Lepisosteus oculatus: one gene and its partner. Each later gene encodes a partner of the first gene's protein in a complex. Links are inferred from orthologs where the notes say so. Each region holds a gene or a part of one and is shown on either strand. Other genes may lie near its edges.

What was found.
Region 2: the proteins of kifbp (region 1) and kif18a are in contact, whole or in part, in a cryo-EM structure (PDB 7RSI), measured with the Homo sapiens proteins. The link is inferred for Lepisosteus oculatus from reciprocal best matches to the Homo sapiens genes KIFBP and KIF18A. Residues at the interface, in NP_056449.1 of Homo sapiens: Ser150, Glu151, Tyr212, Tyr213, Gln216, His220, Gln238, Ile251, Asn252, Thr255, Gln258, Asn262, Gly414, Tyr415, Val459, Asp460, Leu461, Asn462, Pro463, Gln464, Leu467; in NP_112494.3 of Homo sapiens: Glu181, Thr183, Gln184, Lys185, Gly186, Arg274, Phe275, Val276, Glu277, Gly278, Thr279, Asn280, Ile281, Arg283, Ser284, Leu285, Leu288, Gly289, Val291, Ile292, Arg314, Lys317, Asp318, Gly322, Asn323.

What each region holds. Positions count from the first base shown.
Region 1 is NC_090699.1:30,752,798-30,763,367, reverse strand, and holds the start of kifbp (KIF-binding protein), read right to left. Parts: upstream 4,181-10,570; 5' UTR 4,117-4,180; coding exon 3,676-4,116; intron 3,057-3,675; coding exon 2,958-3,056; intron 2,297-2,957; coding exon 2,217-2,296; intron 1,886-2,216; coding exon 1,702-1,885; intron 932-1,701; coding exon 838-931; intron 551-837; coding exon 438-550; intron 33-437; coding exon 1-32. Other genes in the region: myb-related transcription factor, partner of profilin-like, read right to left, coding at 8,638-9,353, 10,170-10,560. UniProt on the Homo sapiens protein: Activator of KIF1B plus-end-directed microtubule motor activity. Required for organization of axonal microtubules, and axonal outgrowth and maintenance during peripheral and central nervous system development.
Region 2 is NC_090716.1:3,253,255-3,264,203, reverse strand, and holds the start of kif18a (kinesin-like protein KIF18A), read left to right. Parts: upstream 1-7,034; 5' UTR 7,035-7,252; intron 7,253-7,335; exon of another isoform or gene 7,336-8,605; intron 8,606-8,964; 5' UTR 8,965-9,085; coding exon 9,086-9,407; intron 9,408-10,587; coding exon 10,588-10,745; intron 10,746-10,949.

The DNA of each region.
Region 1 (10,570 bases):
TGACGCTCCACATCCAGCTCGCCAATATTATCCTGCAGTAAACCCACCAGAAGAGGGAAGTTCATTTAAAAAAACTTCTCCTATAAGTGACGGGAAAGCACTGCAAACTCATCTTTTGTTACAGTTCCGATTTTGTTCCCTATTGCTTCTAAAATAAGTGGATCCTTCTTTCTACACCAAGGTCAGACAAACAATTGAGACCACAGGATTTGCAGGCAGTATATTCACTGCCAGGGAAAGAAAGTAAGTTTCACATGTGCCTGCCATCTGAAGGTACCCATACAGAATCTCTTGCAGAAGGAAACTAAAGGAACAGGCACACAGCTTGCGAGTGCAATAATACAAAGTAATGGAAAACCACAGATGGTGTTTAACAAAAAGGCAACCAAAAGTGGACAGAAATGTACACTCAACAATTAAAAAAAATAAAGCTCTACCTCTAGGAGTTTTTTGGCATCCTGCAGAAGATTCAAGCAGTATTTTATCCAGCACCGGGCTATTTCAGCTCTCTTCTGACGAAGCTGCTCCCTCTTTTCACCCTCTGCCTCGTCTAGACCAAGAAAGACATGGTACACCTTGGTAAATGTACTATTTGGTAAATGTACTACTAACTCCAACGTCTTAGATTTCAATCAACAGAATGTGAAAACTTGCTCTGTCTCCAACACAAAGCAAAGGTTCATTTATGCCTCCCCATCTTTCCCCGTTTCTCATTTTTACTTTGAAACAATTCCGCAGATGTCTGGCTCATGAATACAATCCCATTCACTTTCACAACTTCAGTTCCTCCCTACCGGCCATGAGGACAAACCCCCAGTGCCCCGGGGTGACACTTACTCTCCTGCGCTGCTGCTTCTGACGGCACCTCGCCTGCCAGGCCTGCAACCACAACAGCCGCAGCTAAGCAGTGCCTTCCCTCCATATAACGAGACTAACGGAGAGAAAGAAGAAAGAAAATTAGTTCTTTCAGTTGGGGTTAAGGGCCTTGCTCAGGGGCCCAACGGAGTAGGATTCCTCTGCCGGCCGCAGGATTTGAACTGGCAACCTTCCAGCCACAGGCCCAGATCCTTAGCCACAGTGCCACCTCACCGCCTGTTCACATTGTTCCGCTGAAGTCTACTATGTGACTTTGAAACAGCCACAGTGATGCTGCAAGAGAAGTAGGTCTTATGTTGATGATATCAGACCACTGCCTGCAGAGCCCACTGGGATTAACTTCATAAACCGTAGGAGTGTGTGCAACACCCCAGTCATGTTTAGAGGGGGTCTATTAAGGACAATAATAGAAATTAATGGAAACCAGCCAGTTCTCAGAAATTTAAGATTTAAGGCAATCTACTTTATTATACTTTAAATTTTGAAAAAAAAAAGACAGTATAAGAAGGAGAATTGTATTTGCTGATGGGTAGAAAAGTAAGTCAAGAAATACTCCAACTTTTCTGACCAGAGAACACTGATCTAAAAAAAAAAGACCACACTGAGTTTAAAACAAAACTGGCAAAGTTACTGTATAATTCTAACCAAAGTTACAGAGCAACCGTGAACCTCAGGGACAAAGCTGGAGTAAGGCTGAGCATCACATCTGCAATAAACAACACTTTCTGCAACACTCTGGACTAGCACGTACGAGTCAAAGCTTCAGTCCCACTGCATTGCGTGTCTTGGGCAGAAAGCACCAGCCTGCCCTGAGCTGACTCTTACCTTAGTAATGTAATACTGGGACAATGTTGCAGCATTGATGGCCCATTCTAGAGGAACAAAGTGGTTAAACTCCAGCTGCCTCTGAAGAGTGGTGTGGCAGTACCGGCCAGCTTTTTCGTACTGTTCCAGGTTCTTGTAGACTTGAGCCAAGTAATACAATGTGTAAGTGTGAGCCATTTCAAATCTGTCCAGCATAACAAAAGAGATGCATGTTTTAGTTTTATTTCCTTTGCATTTTGCGGACAAAGAAAAGGCTTTAGCAGTTGTCCCTAACATGTCCAAACACCACTACCAGTGGCAAAGCTTCTAGATTTACCTTGGGCACATGTTTACAGAAAGATAATGCTGTGACAAGATTAACTGCACAACAAGGCCAATATTATATAACGAGACTGACACAATCATGTCTGTCACATGATTTATAACTTACATTAAGAAACTACTTACCTTTCTAGTAAAATGTCAGTAATATAAGAAAACTCAGTTTAATGCTTACTTTTAATCCGAGTAACTACCTTTTTGTTCTTTCTTGGTCCAATACACTTTCCCCTTCTGTCACAAAGAAGTCACTGAGATCCATTGGGGGCTGTCCATCCTGTTTGGAAAAAACAGGTCTTTCTAGCTTAAATCAGTTTAAAAGCAAGCATTCTGGCAGGGCCGCTGCTTTGAATTTGGAGAAGAAGGGGACTGCATGTTCACAAACAAAACCACTATTACTTGGAAGAGTTTCCTTATGACCATTTGATCCAAGGGATTTGTTCCTCTCATTTACAGTAAATCAGAGATTGTGCAACACGAACCTATTAACATTCTGTAGCTCTAAGGATCACTCTTGACCATTCTGGACTTAAACTGCGCATTGTACAGAATTAATTAAAGCTCACAAACTGATGATTTTGGCTGGCCTGTAATACACACTAGACTGTTTGCCCCTAGGACCAAGGTTGGCTACCCCTGAGGTGTACGACATCACCATACTGTATATTTCTAGGAAATTATTCAACAACCCTAAAAATACCTGACAGATCAATATCACAATACTTAATATCTCAGGAACGATATTTCTGCATGAATGAAAAGTCTGTAATAATATGTCAAGTATAAATGCACGCAGGCAATCGCTTCCTGTTCAGAGCAACTATACGCCTTCTAATGTAAACGAACATGTACCGGCTTGATTAAGGTAGTGTAACGTTGTCTGATTCGCAAGGCAGTAAACTGTAATCACAAACCACAGGAATACATAACTAACTTACCTGTTTCATGTACTGAATGTACAGAGACTCTGCAGTTTCCAGAAAACCCTGCGCCTTCTCAGTTTCATCTCGTCCAGCCCACAGAATACCCAACTGATTCTACAGAAAGAATGAAGACATTTTCCTCTCAGCCACCTGTCTTAAATCCACTCCTTTATTCACTTCCAAAATAAACGAAATGAAGTGTCGCATTGGACCATTCGTTTCCTCTACAAAACGTATACAGTTCCCCAAAAGATAGAAATTTAACATGAAGGATTACCTGTCAATTACCGTTAATGTTTTATTAACATTATACATTTCTCTTAGATTTGGGGACAGAAATATATGACATCAGATACTACAAAACCGGTTGCTACAGGCTAAAAGCGTTATAGTTTTGCCTTAGAATAACTGTCGGTTGTATAAAAATAAAATGTAATTAAAATAACGTGTGCATAAAAAAGGTATCGTTAACATAATGAGATATTTCAGGTGGGTAGCTGCGTCAGCATGCGTAGTCTGCAAAGGAAAAAAGTAATAGGTTTATTCCATGCTGAAAAAAAGAAGAAAAAACACAACGTTTCGGCCGTGGAGCCTTCTCACACCTGAAGAAGGCTCCACGGCCGAAACGTTGTTTTCTTTCTTCTTTTTCTCAGCATGGAATAAACCTATTACTTTTTCTAATGTGATATGGTGTGCAGTTTTTTCACAATGGAACGTGGCAACAATACAATACCCTGGTCTGTATGTTTATAGAGATGTTTTCCCGTGACATGCTGTATTTATCCAGCAGTTTGAGGCAGTTCATCAGATGTTCCTCTCCAGCGGAAAGTTCTTCAGTCTCCACATGGTTTACCCCTAGAAGGTGCTCGATCACTCCGAGTTTTGCTGCCCTGAGGGCGGCTGGCGAGCCCCCGACACAACCGCTCCCACATCCCTCTGAGTCTGAACCCTCAAGAATCTGATCCTTCTGGGGCTGGTCGCTTTCCCCGTCATCCTCCCCGATATACTGGTTCCTCAGGGTACAGATGATCTCCTTCAGAAGCTCCCTGGCTTTGTACTTGGAGCGAAAAGGGTCAGTCTCCGGGTCCTTCCTGGATTCTACCTCAGAAAGAGTAACGACGCGGCTGTATTTTTCACATAGGGAGCTCAACTCTGATGTTGCAGAAGCAGCCATCTTACCAGAGCAAGCGCACTTTGAAAAGCTCTCAACTCTCTACACTCCCCTTTCCCCTGCGGCGCAAACAAGTGACATCATTAAACGGCGCCGATGAAATCCTTACACATTCTGCCCAGCCCAGAGCCCAGAGTTATACGGGGGCGGGGTGGTGTGGAGCTGTTGAACATCATGAGCTGGCATCGAGTTTGTTAAAATATATAATATTTCTATTACTTTTTATCAATATTTCGCTGTAATTACCGCGATTCCTAGGAAAATATTGACTTTTTAAAGGAGTTGCAATAGTAGTCCAAAATTCAGCAGCCAGAATCCTGACCAGGTCTAGTGCAAGTGTTCACATTACTCCTATCCTGGAGTTCTTGCACTGGCTTCCGGTCAAATTCCGCGTAGACTTTAAAATCCTCATGCTCACCTATAAGGCTTTACATGGCTTGGCACCTCAATACTTGTCTGAACTATTATCGCCCTACTCCCCACCTCGCAACCTCCGCTCTTCAAATTCTGCCCTCCTTACTGTCCCCCAAGCCCGTCTACATTGTATGGGCGACAGGGCCTTCTCCTGCTATGCCCCCAAGCTCTGGAACTCTTTGTCAAAGGATATTAGAGAGTCACCTTTTCTAAACTCCTTCAAATCCAGACTCAAAACCTTCTTCTTCAGAAAAGCCTTAACTTAACTGGTTCCATTCTTCACCCCTCTGCTCTTCTTAGTACCACCTTCCACAGTCTCCTCTATTTTTATTGTTGTATTGTTGTAATTGTAATTGTGTCTTATCTTGTGAAATCTTATTTATTGTTGCATTCTTCTTATTTATTGTTATTGTCATCCTGTAAAGCGCTTTGAGAAGCCACTTTTAAAGGCGCTATATAAAATCAAGTTTATTATTATATTATTAGAGACGCTGGAAGAATTTACAGGTCGCATCAGACTACAAAAGGAAAAGACATTTTGAGTTGTGGATGTAATAACATTTTTAAGATCTCTGTTGCAAAATGATAATATCCTCGCTGTTACATTATATTGGAATTCCTCATTTTGAAAATGGGTTGATTGGAAAAAAATGTGGATGATGCCCAATAAATCTTAAATAACTAATAAGGTTAAGGAGGTTTCATACAAAATAATTAATTGAATTTACCCAGCTAAGACCCTTGTTGTCCAGAGATTTAAAATTAATACAGACGATAAATTTGTTTTTTTGTGACAGTAGCCCTGAAACTGTTCATCATTTATTTAAATTATGTCCCATGGTTGAGATCTGACTCATACAGTATATTACCTCTTTCAGTTTAATACCACCCAGCTGATATTTGTATTTCACACTCGCTGTTACATATTTTGTGCGTATCCGCATTTCATGTCATGTGTCGGGCCAGTTCCGGGTTTTGCCTACATCTCCTACTGTGCTCCTACTGTTACATTATCTTCATTATTACGGCTACTGACTCTACTAGAGTCTGAATCTTTGATAGACGTTAAGAACAGCATCGCTGCTGGAAATAAACTCTATAGTACCCAGCAATGACTTCACTATAGTCTCTGCTACCCCCTCTTATCATATCCTTGATGAGTTTAGCAACTACACACCGTGTTCAATTAAACTAGGATGAAATCTTTGATTAATGCAATTTGGTGGCATTATAACCAGAACATTAGCCATTAGGCTTCATATTCCAATAAATACCACTAGGGGGAGAAGTACAAAACATTATCTTGAGAATTTACAATGTGAAGGCAGTTTTGTTACTATATTTGTTACAGTGTTACTATACATTATAAGTAATTAAGTGGAAAATTAATTTACCTTTTGCCATATTTTCCAGAAAAAAAACTTAAAAGTTATTTTCTTAGACCCTGTGTGGTCTCCATTGTTTAATACGCTATTTAAATATTATATTAAAATATGGTGTAAAATGTACACATGAAAAAATCTACTAATACTGTTCTAAATGAAACTGATATGTTAAATAAAATTCCAATTGCATTAGACGTTCTTTTGATTACCTGCATCTATACAGACATTTCTTACCAACATATCTAAAAGTGCTTTAACGTTCTTATCGGAGCATACTTCATTACTGAAGGCATCTCACAAATAGCAGCCCACTGAAGTTAAGCAGGTGTGAGCCTGGTCATTACCTGGATAGGAGACCTCCTGGGAAAAACTAAGGTTTCTGCTGGAAGAGGTGTTAGTGGACCCAGCAGGGGGCGCTCACCCTGCAATCTGTGTGGTTCCTAATGCCCCAGTATAGTGAAAAGGACGCTATAAAAGTTGCCATTTTCGGATGAGATGGAACTGAGGTCCTGACACTGTCATTAAAAATCCCAGGGTGTTTCTTGAAAAGAGAAGGGGTATAACCCCAGTGTCTTGGCCAAATTTCCCATTTGCCTCCTAATTATCCCCACCTGAATATGAACTGGCTTCATCATTCTGTTCTGATGTGTGGTGAGCGTTCTGGCACACTATGGCTGTTGTTGCATCATGCAGGTGGGGCTGCACATCAGTGGTGGTGGAGGGGAAACCCCATTACCTCTAAAGCGTTTTGAGTGGAGTGTTGCAGATCAGACAGAAATCAGATATTACCTCACCGGTTGAATTTTAGGTGGAAATTTAAGCAGGTCTGATTGTTCAAATTCAAAATGCAATTTAGCCAGGGTGTTAGGGTAAAACTAAAACTTATGGGACCTTTAATCATCTATAAGTCAGGACATTAACTTAATGGCACATCCCACAGGACAGTGCCCTGTCATTTTCCTGGAGCACTGCATTTTGGTAAATGTGGTCCAGAGGGATGGGGAGCACTGTGGCACAGAGTTAGCATTGCTACCTCACAATGCTGGGGCCCTGGGCCCAATTCTGGATGGGTGCTGAGAGCATGGAGTTTGTACTGTGTGTTTATCCCAAGTCCAAAAACATACTGATAGCTTAATTGTCATCTGGGAAAATTGGCCCTGGTGTGTCTGTGTGTGCTCTGTGATGGACTGGCATACCATTCCCACCTTGTGAAAGTTGCTTGCTGGGATAGGCTCTGGCTTTCCCATGACCCTAAATTGTATGAAGTGGTAAGAAACGGATAGATGGCCCAGAGGGGAAAGATCAACTTCCTGGTCCTCACATACAGTAGCAGCCTGGCTTTCCTTGAGGTTTCCTCCCCCAGTACTGACCAAGCCCATCCTTGTTTAGTTTGGCATTGCTGCTTGTTTTATCACGAAAAACAACAGACAATTAATTACAATACCAATTATAATGCGTCATTTTGAAAAAAATGTCAATTTTTAATTTCTGAATTCATTTATTCTTAAGAACTTGTTATAAAAATATTTACAAGTAATGAAATTAGTAGACTATAAACATCTACATATATATGTCCATGAGATCATGAAAATACTGTTTATTTATAATTCTCTAATTGATCAACATGGTGATTGAAGAAAATTGCAATTTTCTTAATGTCGTTCATACCGTATATTGACTGGCCTTACAACAGTTACACTGGATATGGATGGGAACTTTGAACCAAAAAATATCATTTTATGTCTTTTACTTGAATGACAACATTGTTCCTTAAAGTTGTTACACAACATAATCCATAAGGTCTATTATTGTTATCTGGATATACCATATTGCATATACTGTACTGTATTGACAAATGTTACCAACAGGTCCTGAGCCATAACAACTGCTGGAAGAAGTGGACCTACTCACTACTGCACAGTTAATCCACAGATGAAGCATGAACACATGAACTCCTGTTCTTACTTCTTACCTTATCTTCTGGTCCCATTATTAAGCACATAGAAAGTGACACATTTTATATTTTGGTAAAAGTAAAATCTTGCATTTCTTTTCCTTTCTTCCAAACCATGGAAATAAGTGCCAAACAGACTACAAAAAGCGCAAAATGTCAGTGCAGCAGCAGAAAGGCTTTTAAATAATCAGGAGGTCTATGATAAATCTTACATAAACACATACCTATTAAGTTACTTTATGCATCAAACTTAAAAATATTTTCAAAAATGTGAAAAGCATGCATGCTTCACTTTATAGTAAAGTTTTATGACTGTACTACGTGAATTATTCATTAGCTGGGTTTATTGAGTATAGTCATTTTAAACCATGTAAAGAAGTTTAAGAGATCTGTATGGAAGCTTCCTAAAAAAGAAAACTATTTCTTATATTTTTAAGCTTTTTTTCTCTAAACAGCTAGCTGAAATATCCTAAAGCAATGCTTTTATAAATTACAGCTAAGGGTGATAAACTGGATTAGGCTGTCCTTCCCACATCTAGCCAAACATCCTTCCAATAAATACCTTTTCATTGAAAAAACAACAAAGATGTGACTTTTCAAAACTGGGAAATAACAGTGGAGGGGCTGGAGGTTCTAGTGTATTAAAGCCTGGCTCAAAAACTCATAAGTTACGGTCCCTAAAATACAGAGAAGGATTTTCTCCAACACAAGAAACAAGGTAACATGATGACTAACATATATGTGGAGTAAACTGCTACTCCATTAGTTCAATCACATTGTTTCCTCTCTGCGTGCAGTGTTCTCCTGCTCCACAATGGAGGAAGTGGGCACAGGGGCCTTCACAGCACTGGGCACCACGAAGACGGAGCGCTCCTGCTGGGATGCCAGCAGGTCGATCACCCTGTCCTGGAGACAGTTGGTGGCGTCGATGCTCTCCGTGATCTTGTGATGGATGCCCACGAGCTCCTCGGCCAGGTCCGACACGCTCTCGTTCTTTTCCGCGAGGCAGGAGGCAATGCGGGCGATGTTCTTGTTGGTTTCGCACATCTCCCTGTAGATCAGTCTGTTCTGCCTGGTGAGGGTGCGGAAGCCGTCCTTGAGAGCGGCGGTGTGCTCCCGGTGAGCCCTCAGGAGCTGCTGCTCGAAGGACCCCAGTGGCACAGTCTTGTTACAGCTCATCCCACTCCAGGCTTTCAAATGCCCCCTCAGTGCAGGATAGGAGCCCTGCGCTGTCCCTCTGGCAGGAGAGCCCTCGCTTGCTGCAGGTTCTACTTTGTTCCGACGTGAAAAAGTGCTGCTTCCTTCTGGTGAAATTTCTTGGTTTCCAAATGGGCTGGAGCTGGACTGCTCTGCGTAGGTGTGTGGGGGCGTCTGAAGGGCACCTGAAGGGTCTTGACAGGTATGAGTCTGTAAGCCCGAAGCCTTCTGTTCTGAAGATTCTTCTTCATAGTATTCTGAGGAGCCAGTGTCTCTAGCATGACAAGTCTCTAAAAATACAGAATGCAATAAACAAGTTACAAAAGCCTTGTAAAATATAAAATGATGATTTATTGTTATCACATAGTTTGGGAAGTAACAGCAGTTATCCTTGTACAACAACATGATGCACAGCGTTACTGCAAGTAAAAAAACTACACATCCTAAACTGATGTAATAAAAAAATCTGTAGACCAATAAACCCTTATGCGAGCGGCACAGTGTTAGCATTGCTGCCCCACAGTTCATGGGCCCTGGGACCAATTGCTGGGGTGCTATCTGGGCGGAGTTTAAATATTCTCCCCATGTTCTTATGGGTTTCCTCCCACAGTTCAAAGATATGCTGGCAGGTTAACAGGCTTCTGGGAAATTGGGCACCGGTATGAGTGTGTGTGTGTCTGTGCGTGCCCTGTGATGAACTGCCGTCCTGTCCAGGGTGTATCCTGTCTTGCGCCCGTTTCTTGCCAGATTAGGCTCTGGCTCCCCTCACGACTCCTTACTGGATAAAGCAGTGTAGAAAATGGATGTATAAATAAACCATTATGCACTGAGGGAAAAAAAAAAACTTTAGCACCACAACACAGACAGGCACACAGAGAGAAAGGAATCAGTTTTATAAGGCAGCAGTTTTAACGGGCAATCGGTTTTAACTATAAGCAGTTATAGTTAGGAAAACTAACTACAGTTAAACCTCCTCCAGCTAAAAACTGGCTCTCTCTCTCAAATATCGAGCAAGGAAATTTGTATTTAGAGGTGCTGATATTTTTTTTTGGTAATTCAAGTTAGTAGGGTTTTTTTTACACTCGGTGACTATAGTTTAAGGTTACCTTCCTGAAGAGGTGGCTGTGCGATATCTTCTTGTTTCACAATGGTGTGGATATTGAGAGAGCCGTACACTTTCTGTTCCATGGCTGTGAGGTACAAAGATGAGGTGGGGCTGTTCCTGGCAATGTGAAGCTTTGCGTCTTCAACTTTCTGCTTGGTTCTTCGCTTCAGGTCTTGCCACCTCCTTTTTATCTCGCTAATCGTGCGCTGCATGCCAGACACCGCGTACAGCCTGTGCGCGATGTCAACCCAGAGCTTATTTTTCTCATAGGTTGTCATGCCATTACCCTGCAGGCCAAATAACATGTCTTCTTTATGTGTCACCTCTTCGATTAAGATGGCTAATTCAGCTTCTGTGAATTTATGTTTGCGCATTCTTTCTCTCGGCTGCATCTCCAGTTTT
Region 2 (10,949 bases), on another chromosome or scaffold:
CCAGAGCAAAGAGAGCTGACAGAACTTATACACCACACGATAACAGTGCATAGGACCCTGCACAGCTCCCCTCCACAGCATGGACAAGAACATGAACCAGGGCATTCGAGAACTACGGTCGGTCAGACTAAACTGCACCACAATATTTACTCAGCGCACAGACGTCTGACCTGATCCTATTTTTATATATGGAAGCAAGTGCAAAGATCAGATAACTTCGGTACTGAAAGTGCTACTTTTCAAAACCCTTTTCTGTGCCTGAGCTAACACTGCAGTCCCTGTCTGACCACACTTGCAACCATCCCAGATGCAAGTAATCAGAGCGCACTAAGAAAACACAATCACTCTGAAGGAAACTAAATATATCTTTCTGTGGATCGACTGCTTTGTATGTGTTTTATTTCCCCCCCGAGCAACAGGCTGAGATAGTGGGCTGTTAATTGTGGGGTCAGGGACTTCCAAGAGCATCGTGCACCCCAACAGCAACTGTCTCCCCTCCTCCTGTCTATTATGCTGAGCAGTGAGCCAGGAGAAAGCAGGTCTCACTGGGATTCAAACACTGGCCTCTCGATTTCTGCAGAAGACGCTCCAGTTGCTCAGCAAACTGTTATTTTGGCTTCATCGCCACAGAGCAAAAGAAAGAGGGGTCAACAGAAATTAGCAGGGGATCTGTGACAGCCTTTAAACACTGGCAGTAACAGCTTCAGAGCAATGGGTTGAGCTGAGGAAAGAACAGCAGGCCATGTAAGACCTCCCAATGACAGGCAATACCCTATCATTCTGTATGAGTAACCACACCACCAACCCTGTGATCTGCAGTGACAAAGTTGGAAGAGAGAAATCAGGGTGCACTGAGGCACCTTCAAAAATCAGTGCGAGTTTTTGGGATTCACAACCTGAATACATTACCACTGTCAAGGGAAAAAAAAACCCATTCGGGAACAGATGGCTGATATTTTAAATACAGCACACTGCAGCGTTGCTGTCTTGTCTTGGTGTTGGAGGCTCAGGAGAGACAGGGATACGTGACGGCCACCGGAACTGTGTGTCAGGGTTTTCACACCACTGCGTGTCTCAAACAGGACTTTATTAATTTAGGAAAATCCGCAGAGCGCCGGTGACTCACTCTGTTGTCACCCACATGTTGCACTCCTTAAATTTCAAAGCAAAACACTGCTGCAGCTCAGGGAGGGCAGAAACTTACTGCGATTATTTGCCTTTCATACTTTTCACTTCACAGCAACCACAGTGCCACTGTAGAAGTCTTCTGCATTACAAAAACTGGTACTTTCTGATTCCCTGTTGTTTTGTTAATCCATCATTGTCAGTTACCACCATCATTCTTACATATAAACAAAACAGCAGCGTTGTATTGGAGAGGACTGTTTCTTTAAATGCAGGAACTTGAAGGATGCACATTATAGGGGAGAATATACACCGCAGGAAATACAGGAGAAAGACAAGAGCATTGGACAAAAACAATGCTGGTGAAAGAATATACACATGAGATCCCTGTACTCAGGTGGCCTTCTGATGCTCCAGCTAAACATAACTCTTCTGACTAGATCTCAGCACAGCCCCTACATAGAAAGAATACAGTGACACTGAAACGGTTGGGCTTACTAACATAGCTCCTGACGTAGCTTATATCTATATATATATAAATTGTTCTTTTTGCAGAAGAACAGTGTGCGTTTGAGGGTGGATAGGATTTAGTCACAAACAGATGACACATTCTTTAGCACCTGTTTCACGACTGAAGCCCTACCAAATGATTTTGCATAACTTTCGCATTAATAACAGAGTCTTACTTTGAAGAAAAAAAAAATATAGACCTCTTCTTCGTTTGCATGGCAACCTCTCGTTGGCCAATCAGCGCAGCCTGTTAAGTGTCTGCGCGGCTGTACCAATTTCCCTGACTCTTGCATTCTCTCATTTGTCTTACAGGGGGGGGGGGGAAATGATTAGGCCTACACGTTCACAATAAAACAAGTCAAATACTCAGAGACGTAAAAGTATGCGCAAAGGATTTCTTGAAAGCCAGTATTTAAGGGCAGACCAACCAGACCATTGTTAACAAGCTGTCTTATGAAATATTTAGTCCGCTAGTCAAATTTGTCCTTTACCAAATTAGAAAAGTCAGTGCTGTCATCCCGATAGTTTCATCATGCACATCCTTTATTAGAGTTCAATAAATCACCACAGCGCTGGAATTCTTGGATTTACTTCTAAATGGGTTTATTGTAATAGGGACGAAATCTTTTGCATTTTTCTTGTACGCGGAGATGACAAATGCAAGGACCTGGAAACAATTGCTTCAGACGGTGTGTTAGAATTTGTCGGGGCAGCAGTTTCTGAGAAGCCACGGCGCCCCTCTCCCACCCACATACTGTGTGTAACCCCCCCCCGATAGGCGCAAATATTAGGACGCATGGCCCCTAAGGGATTTGTTGCCTCACAGGAAAATAACAGCACCTGGACTAAGCTGTTCAACAGGGAGATACCCCAAGACTACACATAACCCCAGGGACACCTGTTGCTTAACATTATTACAGTACAAAGTATGTAATGCTTTCCTCCTCTGCAGAATAATGAATTCACCAAATTTAAAGACATGAGAATGAGCCACAGTCAAGTGTGTGACCAACTCTGTCGATGCAAGACTGGACTTATCAAACCTAGTCACTATCTTTACCTATTTGCAAGCATTCACTTCCTAACTTTAACAAGAAAGCTGATTCAACGTCTCAAGAGAAAGAAAACTGCAGCTTCAACCAAGGCTTTACAGTTATCCGATGCCTGATCTGTCCCCTTTACCGAGAAGTCTCCTGCTGAAAAATACTCCTCATGTGAAAAAACTCAGGAAAATCCAGACAGATGCTTGGGGAGTCCAGTTAGACTCCACCTTCCATTCCACCAGTCACCCAGGAACTGGGCTCCATTATTTCAGTCAAGGAAAGACGAACTGGGGGTTCACTTGATTGGAGAGTTTCAGACAGGTCCTAGTTTCAGTTTAAGACAACACTATCACCTGATTAAATGCATTGGTAAAAAAAACTCACAAAAGCTTTTTCGCTCTGTTTTCCTGTCTTCTGCAATTTCCCTCACGAGATTAATAAAGTTATCTAATAATAATAATAATAATAATAATAATAATAATAATAATAATAATAATTGCTTACACTTATATAGCGCTTATCTGGACACTCCACTCAAAGCGCTTTAGAGGTAATGGGAGGAGGAGGAGTTGGGAGGAGAGCACAGTAATGAAGCCAATTCATAGATGGGGATTATTAGGAAGCCATGATTGGTAAGAGCCAATGGTAAATTTGGTCAGGACACCGGGGTTACACCCCTACTCTTTTCGAGAAACACCCTGGGATTTTTAATAACCAGAGAGTGTCAGGACCTCAGTTTTACGTCTCATCCAAAGGACAGTGCCTGTTTACAGTATAGTGTCCCCATCACTATATTGGGGCATTAGGACCCACACAGATCACAGGGTGAGCACCCCCTGCTGGCCCCACTAACACCTCTTCCAGCAGCAACCTTAGTTTTTTTCCCAGGAGGTCTCCCATCCAGGTACTGACCAGGCTCACACCTGCGATATGGCTGCCAATCTATCTTATTTATAAATGCTTTTGTATCCTTTATACACCTCCTGCAGATGGGAGAGAACTACCCACACCCTCCTGGCTCCTGTACTCCAACATTGCATCTCTTAAACAAGGGACAATCAACCCCAAATGTATTTAAAGTAAACGAGAGAATGTGATCCAGATGTTAAAAAAAATATCTGACTTTTTTGTTAAAGATCCAAACACAAAACGAGCCTACCTAAAATAAGCACATGTTTAATGTGCACCATTATACTGAGACGGCCTGTTTCATTTCCCATTCGAAAGAAGCTAAATAAAGTCCAAATTACTCCCATCTGACGAAACACAGGCAGGGCTAATATAAACCGTGGCAGAATTGAGACGAACGTCTCCTTTTGATCTTTGAAGACGAAAAAAAAATGCTTAGTCTCGGAGCCAAAGTCATTTTTTTCTCAGTGTTTAATTACACCAACACAAATACGAGGGACTGTTAGATGCTTGAATGTTGTGCGCTATCCACGCATAGGCGCCTGTCATTTGTCAACAGTTACAGCCCTTGCATCTAGCGTCTGATGGGCTTTTGGACGCTTTCCCTCTCCAAGTCGTGTGGGACAAGAAATTGGATTGTTTTAACCGCAAAAACCGGAAAGATGCACGCCGCTGATAAAGAATTGTTTGCTAGGTGTATCCAGTTCTGTTAACAGCGGGTGCATTCGCCAAACCCCCCTCACTGAATTTACGGGTCTGTCATCCAGTCCTTCGTCTTTCTTCAGTCATTTGCAAGGGATCGTGTTAGTGCTGTCAAACTGAGCCAGTTAGCGGTTCCACTCGTACTTCAGGGTCATAAGCTGGAAAAGAAACCACCAGACCTGGCACTCAGGTCCTGCCTCATACCCGTCTCAATCTATGCAATTTATATTGTAGGAAATGTTTTTGTTTTAGAATGTATACACAGCTGCAAAACAGAAAGAAACAAAGGGCAAAGCCTCCAGATTCCATATCGATAAAGTAACTTCCCCCCGTTCCTTGACCTTTCTTCCTGCAAATGAAAACAAGATTGTGCCCATCTCCCGCGGACGCTGGAGAATTATTTAATCAGATGCGGGACTTCACTTTAAGGGGGGGGGAGAGAAAGTTCTGGAAAGAGCAGCCCAAAACTGTTTCGTTTATCAGACTCAAGCTGTTTTGTGAGGTATTCCGGGTGCTTTAATTAGTATTGGGGGTTTACAGATTAACAGGAATTTACTGCAACATCTGTCTTCTGTTTATAGACGTATGCTTGCAGACACGTGTCTTGTAATTATCTCTCTGCTCCCACCTCCCGTCTTACGCCGTCTTCGCTTAGAAACCCCCAGCAGCGCTTAAAAAAAAGCTACGACGAGTCCGCATTCAGAGTTTGGGCTGAGGATGAGAAATCAAAATAGTCCTAAGAGCTACGTTCGGTATTAGGTTTAGAAAACAGCAGCTGGCAAACCTGCCTTTATCTATCTGACAGCTGGGAGGCCTCCTGATTTCACTTCTTATGACAGGAGTGTGAACTGCAACCTACACCCCATTATTCGAGTCTTTATTGCATCAGGCTCTTCTTCTTTGATCGCTGCTGGGTCAGTGCTTCCTGGCTGTTGTGGGGTGAGGTCTGCCTTTTTCATGAGTGCACCCTAAAAAGCAGGTGTGTGCAGTTTCTCCTCATCGACAGAACAATCAGACACCTTTAATTCTACTGAAAAAGTAATCAATTTAACAAAGCGACAAGTAAAGGTTTATTTCATGCTGCAAAGAAAAAGGAAGACAACGTTTCGGCTGTGGAGCCTTCTTTCTGGGGGTCACGTTACCTACCTGAACTTGAATTTAACCTACTTGAAATTAACAAAGTGTTCAGGTAGAAACGGCTTAACGCCAGCACAGAACACGGGCCATGAGCACCACGTATTGCTGCTTTCCAATTATATGCCGGTGTCTTAACTAATAATAGTTGGACAACACCGATGTGTGATACAGACTAGCTCTCTCATCCCTTGCCTTTAGCTGTAAACCGAAGCAACGCCACCAAGGGGATAGTACAGCCATTGTAAAGCTGGTTGTGTAAGCAGTACTATTAGACGCGCCACCAGATCACATACTGATTCTCTGAGAAAGCTGGGCCTTCACCGAGGGCAGAGGGGTACATAGGCGATACCGGGTCTCGCAGGTTACAATTGAATGAATAGGAAACAGACATTAGATTTATGTTAAATCAGAGCCCTTAACGAAGTGCGAACCGTCTGCATCCCCCACAAGTTCACATGGTAACACGTTCTCCTAAAACTGCCATTATACAGAGTAGTTGAGACGCTACCGTTCCTATGGAAAGAGCCGGGGTTTTTTTGTTTTGTTTTGATGGAATAATCATTTCATTTCCATGTTCTCACACACTGCCATCACTATTCTAACTCCCTGCTGGAATATTCGCTTAAATGTGTTAATACACCCCGGTCAGAAAAGGCATTCATGGGTGAAACGTTTACAACATGGTTTATGCTGCTGTCTGACACATTTATCGAAGGGGTGATCCGACTCTAGCCCGTATTCTGAAACAAAATCCCCATCAGATTAATTAGGCATTTTAAATACCCGCTGTAATCAAAATGCGTACTGTTGCAGTCATAAAAACGTTGTATAGGGCGGTGTTGTGTTTTATAAATGAATAAAATTAAATTATAGATCGAGCAGTGAGAGTATCAATTTGAGCCTTTTACAGAAAACATACAATTGCAGCATACCGCATTAACTCTCACTCCCACTGTAGTTAAATTAAAATGTTAACTTACACAGTGGGCACTGTCAGTAGACACACGTGAGGAGTCCGGCAGAGGTGATGTCAAATTCGGTACATCACCGAGAAGGGCTCTACTCTACAACAAAGGTCAGGCACGTTGGTTCCGGTGTTGTAAATGTACGGTACTGTTCAGCGTTAAACCTTTGGAATATTATACAGATTTTAGAATTATGCCTTAATAAAAAAAATAAGGTGGTATTTTAAACGATTAAACAAACAAAATGACACTGAAAAGTCTGTCTACCGCCTAAAAGCGAAAACAAAATAGAAATAATAAAATTAGCGAAGTGGAAGTAATTCACGTTACATATCTAGAGCGGTGAGAGTGTTTCTTTTATTTTATAATTTAATAAAAAGCTTTGCGTGTATTCGCCTCCCCATTTCTTAGTAACGAGATCGATTATCTCCCATTAAACAGTTGATCCAAAGACAGGCTGGGGATTCGATAACACTTTTTCCCAAAACCCCACCCCCCAGCGAAGAGCCACACCGTGCTGCTCAAGTAGCTGCGGCATTACACGCTATGTTGAAAACTGGGGCGGCAGGAAGAAGCTGAAACTCCCAGATTTTCTCCCCACTCCATTCATGCACTGGCTACGCCATCTGACGCGTGACGTCAGCGGGCGTGTGCCGTGACGTCACCGCCCGTGAGCCAATCGGCTGCCGCGGGCGTAAAGCGTCTGGAATTTGAAAATGTTGTTCGAGTGCCTACTGGAAATGCTCTAGGGAAGACTGTAGTTATTCTGTTTGTTTTTTTAAAACAAGGCCGGTTGCTCCTTTAAGTTAAAATAACTTGTCGAAGGCGTTTTCTTTTTGTTAACAGATGTAAAAAAAGTGGGTGAGTTTTATCCGTTTTTAAAGGGATTGTCGGGCTCTGGGCATGCACAGTTTGAAAGATGCACGGCCTAAACGTAGGGGTTCTGCTAACCAGGCCGTTAAGTCGATTCCTAAAATTGTTTTTGTTTACTTGTTCATTGTTGCTCTAGCACTATGAAAGTTGTTTAAATCGACTTCACGGTGTATATTGCATCCTACTGAAAGTACGACTTTGAAATCGATAATTTAATTTTAGTGCATTCGGCTTCAATTTCCTAATACTTGAGTAATGCGAATTATTCAATGGCAGAGTGTCAAAACATGGTGCGAGGTGGTGACCGGCTTGTTAATGCACATTGCACGATCACCGTTTTTATTCTCTTTCGCTTTTCTCGCGTGGTTTTGCTGATCGGGGAAGTTGGTGGGTTTTCTAATGCTCTTCAATGGTTGGTATGGGGGGGGAGGTCTCGTTCAATCGTGCTGAGCGAAAGAAAATGTCGGTCGAGTCCAGGTAGAGCCGGAGACGGTTAACTCTGCCGTGTCTCACAGGCTAGCCGTGTACAGCAATGGGCTGGAGGAGAACTGGATCAGGCTGGGCGCTAGCAGTGCCCAAGACTCCGGTCGTAGCCTCCACTTCCGGGTGGCTAAACCTGCTCAGGCTGTTCCTGTGTGATTCAGAACGAAAACAAATGGATGCTTTCAGATGTGTGTAACGTCTTCAGTGCGGGTGACTGGGATAGGCGGTGACAGAATGTTGCCACAGATCTCTCCCCAAGATGGGGGTGTGTAGGCTAAATGGAAGTTTCGGATCTTTAGTGAGTACCACACAACTCAAGTTTCTCATCTTTAAGTTTTGAATCAATCCTAAAATCTCTCTGGAGGATCATTTTAACATGTCTTTTAAGTTTTCTGTTTACACCCCAAAAGAAGGCAAACTTCTTTTGATTTTTCCAGTTTATAATAATTCCTTGCAGTTGTGTAGGACTTTTCTGGACCCTCCACTCAAAGCACTTTACAGGTCATGGGGATCCCCTCCACCCCCACCAGTGTGCAGCCCCACCTGGATGATGTGACGGCAGCCATAGTGTGCCAGTACACTCACCGTACATCACCTCTCAGTGTGGAGGAGAGCAGAGTGATGAAGCCAGTTCAGAGAGGGGGGTTATTAGGAGGCCATGAGTGGTAAAGGCCAGGGGGAAATTTGACCAGGACACCGGGTTGACACCCCTACGCTTTCCGAGAAACGCCCTGGAATTTTTAATAACCACAGAGAGTCAGGACCTCGGTTTTACATTTCATCCAAAGGACGGCGCCTTTTTACAGTGCAGTGTCCCCGTCACTATACTGGGGCATTAGGACCCACACAGACCGCAGGGTGAGCGCCCCCTACTTGCCCCACTAACACCTCTTCCAGTAGCAGCCTCAGCTTTCCCAGGAGTCTCCCACCCAGGTACTGACCAGGCTCACACCTGCTGAGCTCCAGTGGGCTGCCAGCTGGGAGCTGCAGAGTGATATGACTTATGCCAGCAGTCACAATGGCTTAAATTCATATTTGTAGGGGTTTACCTGGCACAAGGTGGTGAGGGGAAAAAGAAGGCAACATGCTGAAATCACTAATTGGTTTGAAGTAGCTATTTATCATTAATTTGCATCAAATGCAGTGATCACTTGATATTAAAGTGAGTTGATTTCTTAAGCATTGAAATGTTTTGTTGTTGTTGTTGTCTTTTCCAGATCTGATCCTTGGTACGTCGTTGGATCTCTCGGTACCGGTTTTCCTTGTGTGGCTCCCGCAGAGCCACTGCGCGGCCCAGACCCGCCGGGAGAGAGACCGCGGAGGGCGGGGGGGGGCGCCATGTCCGCCGGCGACAGCGGCGTGTGCAACCACGTGAAGGTGGTGGTGCGCGTGCGGCCGGAGAGCGGGCGCGAACGGGAGGGCGGCTTCAGGAAGGTGGTCCACGTGGTGGACGGCCACATGCTGGTCTTCGACCCCAGGGAGCAGGAGGTGAGCTTCTTCCACAAGAAGGCGCCGGGCAGGGACATCACCAAGAAGGCCAACAAGGACCTCAAGTTCGTCTTCGACCACGTCTTCGGGGAGGGCGCCAGCCAGCTGCAGGTGTTCGAGAACTCCACCAAAGGAATAGTGGACGGGGTCCTGAATGGATATAACTGCACGGGTGAGTCTCGGAGATCCCCCCTGGCCAGTTGTAGCGTGGGCTGGCCTTGACTTGAAGCTGTCCGCCTGTCGATGCTGGAGAAGTGTCTCGTGACGTCCGTCAAGTGTGGATGTTTCTCTCTGGGGGAGGGGCGGCCCCTGGAGTGCTCGGTGTCCCCAAAACCAGAGAGGGACCTTTCAACCCGAACTCTGTGGGGATAGTGTGTAAACATGACAGTGCTACACGGCGGAACTGCACAGACAGCGATTGATCGATATCTAGATCTGAAGATCGGCTTTGAATCTTCTCATAGTGATCATTTCTAATGATTAGGAGCTTCAAGCTGATTTAATGCTTAAACTTGGGTCCCGTCCAGATGGGGATGTCTGGGAGCTGGGGCCCTGTGGTCCACAATTGTTGAGGGGAAACGCCCGGTCTAGTGTGTGAGAAACGGGTTTCTCCGTGTTTCTGTGATTTTTCCTCTCAATGAAGCTCTCGGGGTGCATCCTTGGTGTGAGTCGAACAGCGGGGAGGGAGCTGTGTTTCAATCAGAGTGACACATTGTTTATCAAGTTTTGGATTTAAAAGGTGGTGGGGGGGTATTGTCTTCCTGCTGTGTGAACTATTTAAACTATTTTAGGGCATCCAGCAGCTGAAGGGTGGGATTCTCATTTTGCATGCAGACCGAGTTGCTTTTTGAAAGCCGCATAAGGGTGGCCTTGATGTGTCTGGGGAATGTGCTCTGAGCCCCCTGCCCGCTGGAGGCTGACTCTCGGGTCACCAGGGCCAGTCAACGAGCTGTGCACTCCAGTCCGTCTCACTCTCTCCCAGGGGTGATGAGAGGGGGTCTTGCACTGAGGCTTGCATCATGTCCTTCGGCATCCATGCTGCCATCTTGCCCCCCTCTCATTTTAGAAAAGAAAATCGGGTGAGAAGGGTCTTATCTGGCGTGGGCGCGCATGGCTGCACAAGAGAAGGAATGAAACCATTGCAAGTCAAAGTTCATAAAGGGAATGCAAGCTGGCCGTGGTCTGGTGCACCATCCCTTCCCACCAGACAAGCATTGTTCATTGTGTGTAAGAGGTCGCAGGGTTCCTGTTTATAAGTGGTCCAGCGCAAATGAATACTTGATGCACTTGACTAGAGTACTGAAGCTGGTGACCAAAACGACGTTTCACTTCGTGTTCCATGAATGTTGCAGTGTTTGCCTACGGGGCGACCGGAGCAGGCAAGACCCACACTATGTTAGGCTCGGCGGAGGACCCTGGCGTTATGTACCACACCATGAAGGAGCTGTACAGCCGTATCGAGCAGGTTCAAGATGAGAAGGTCTTTGACATTGCCGTCTCCTATCTGGAAGTGAGTGCTTATGGAATTTTTTCTGTTTATTCTCTTAGTCCTTGGCTGGGGGTCCCAGACTCCTCTGAAATTCAAACATGCCTGAAGTCGTTGCTTTACACACAGTACTTTATAGAAATTTGTGTTTTCATATACGATATTTAAAACTGTATAGTTACATATAGGCATTGTTGCTCCTTACAATACTGTCACAGTCACCTTTTA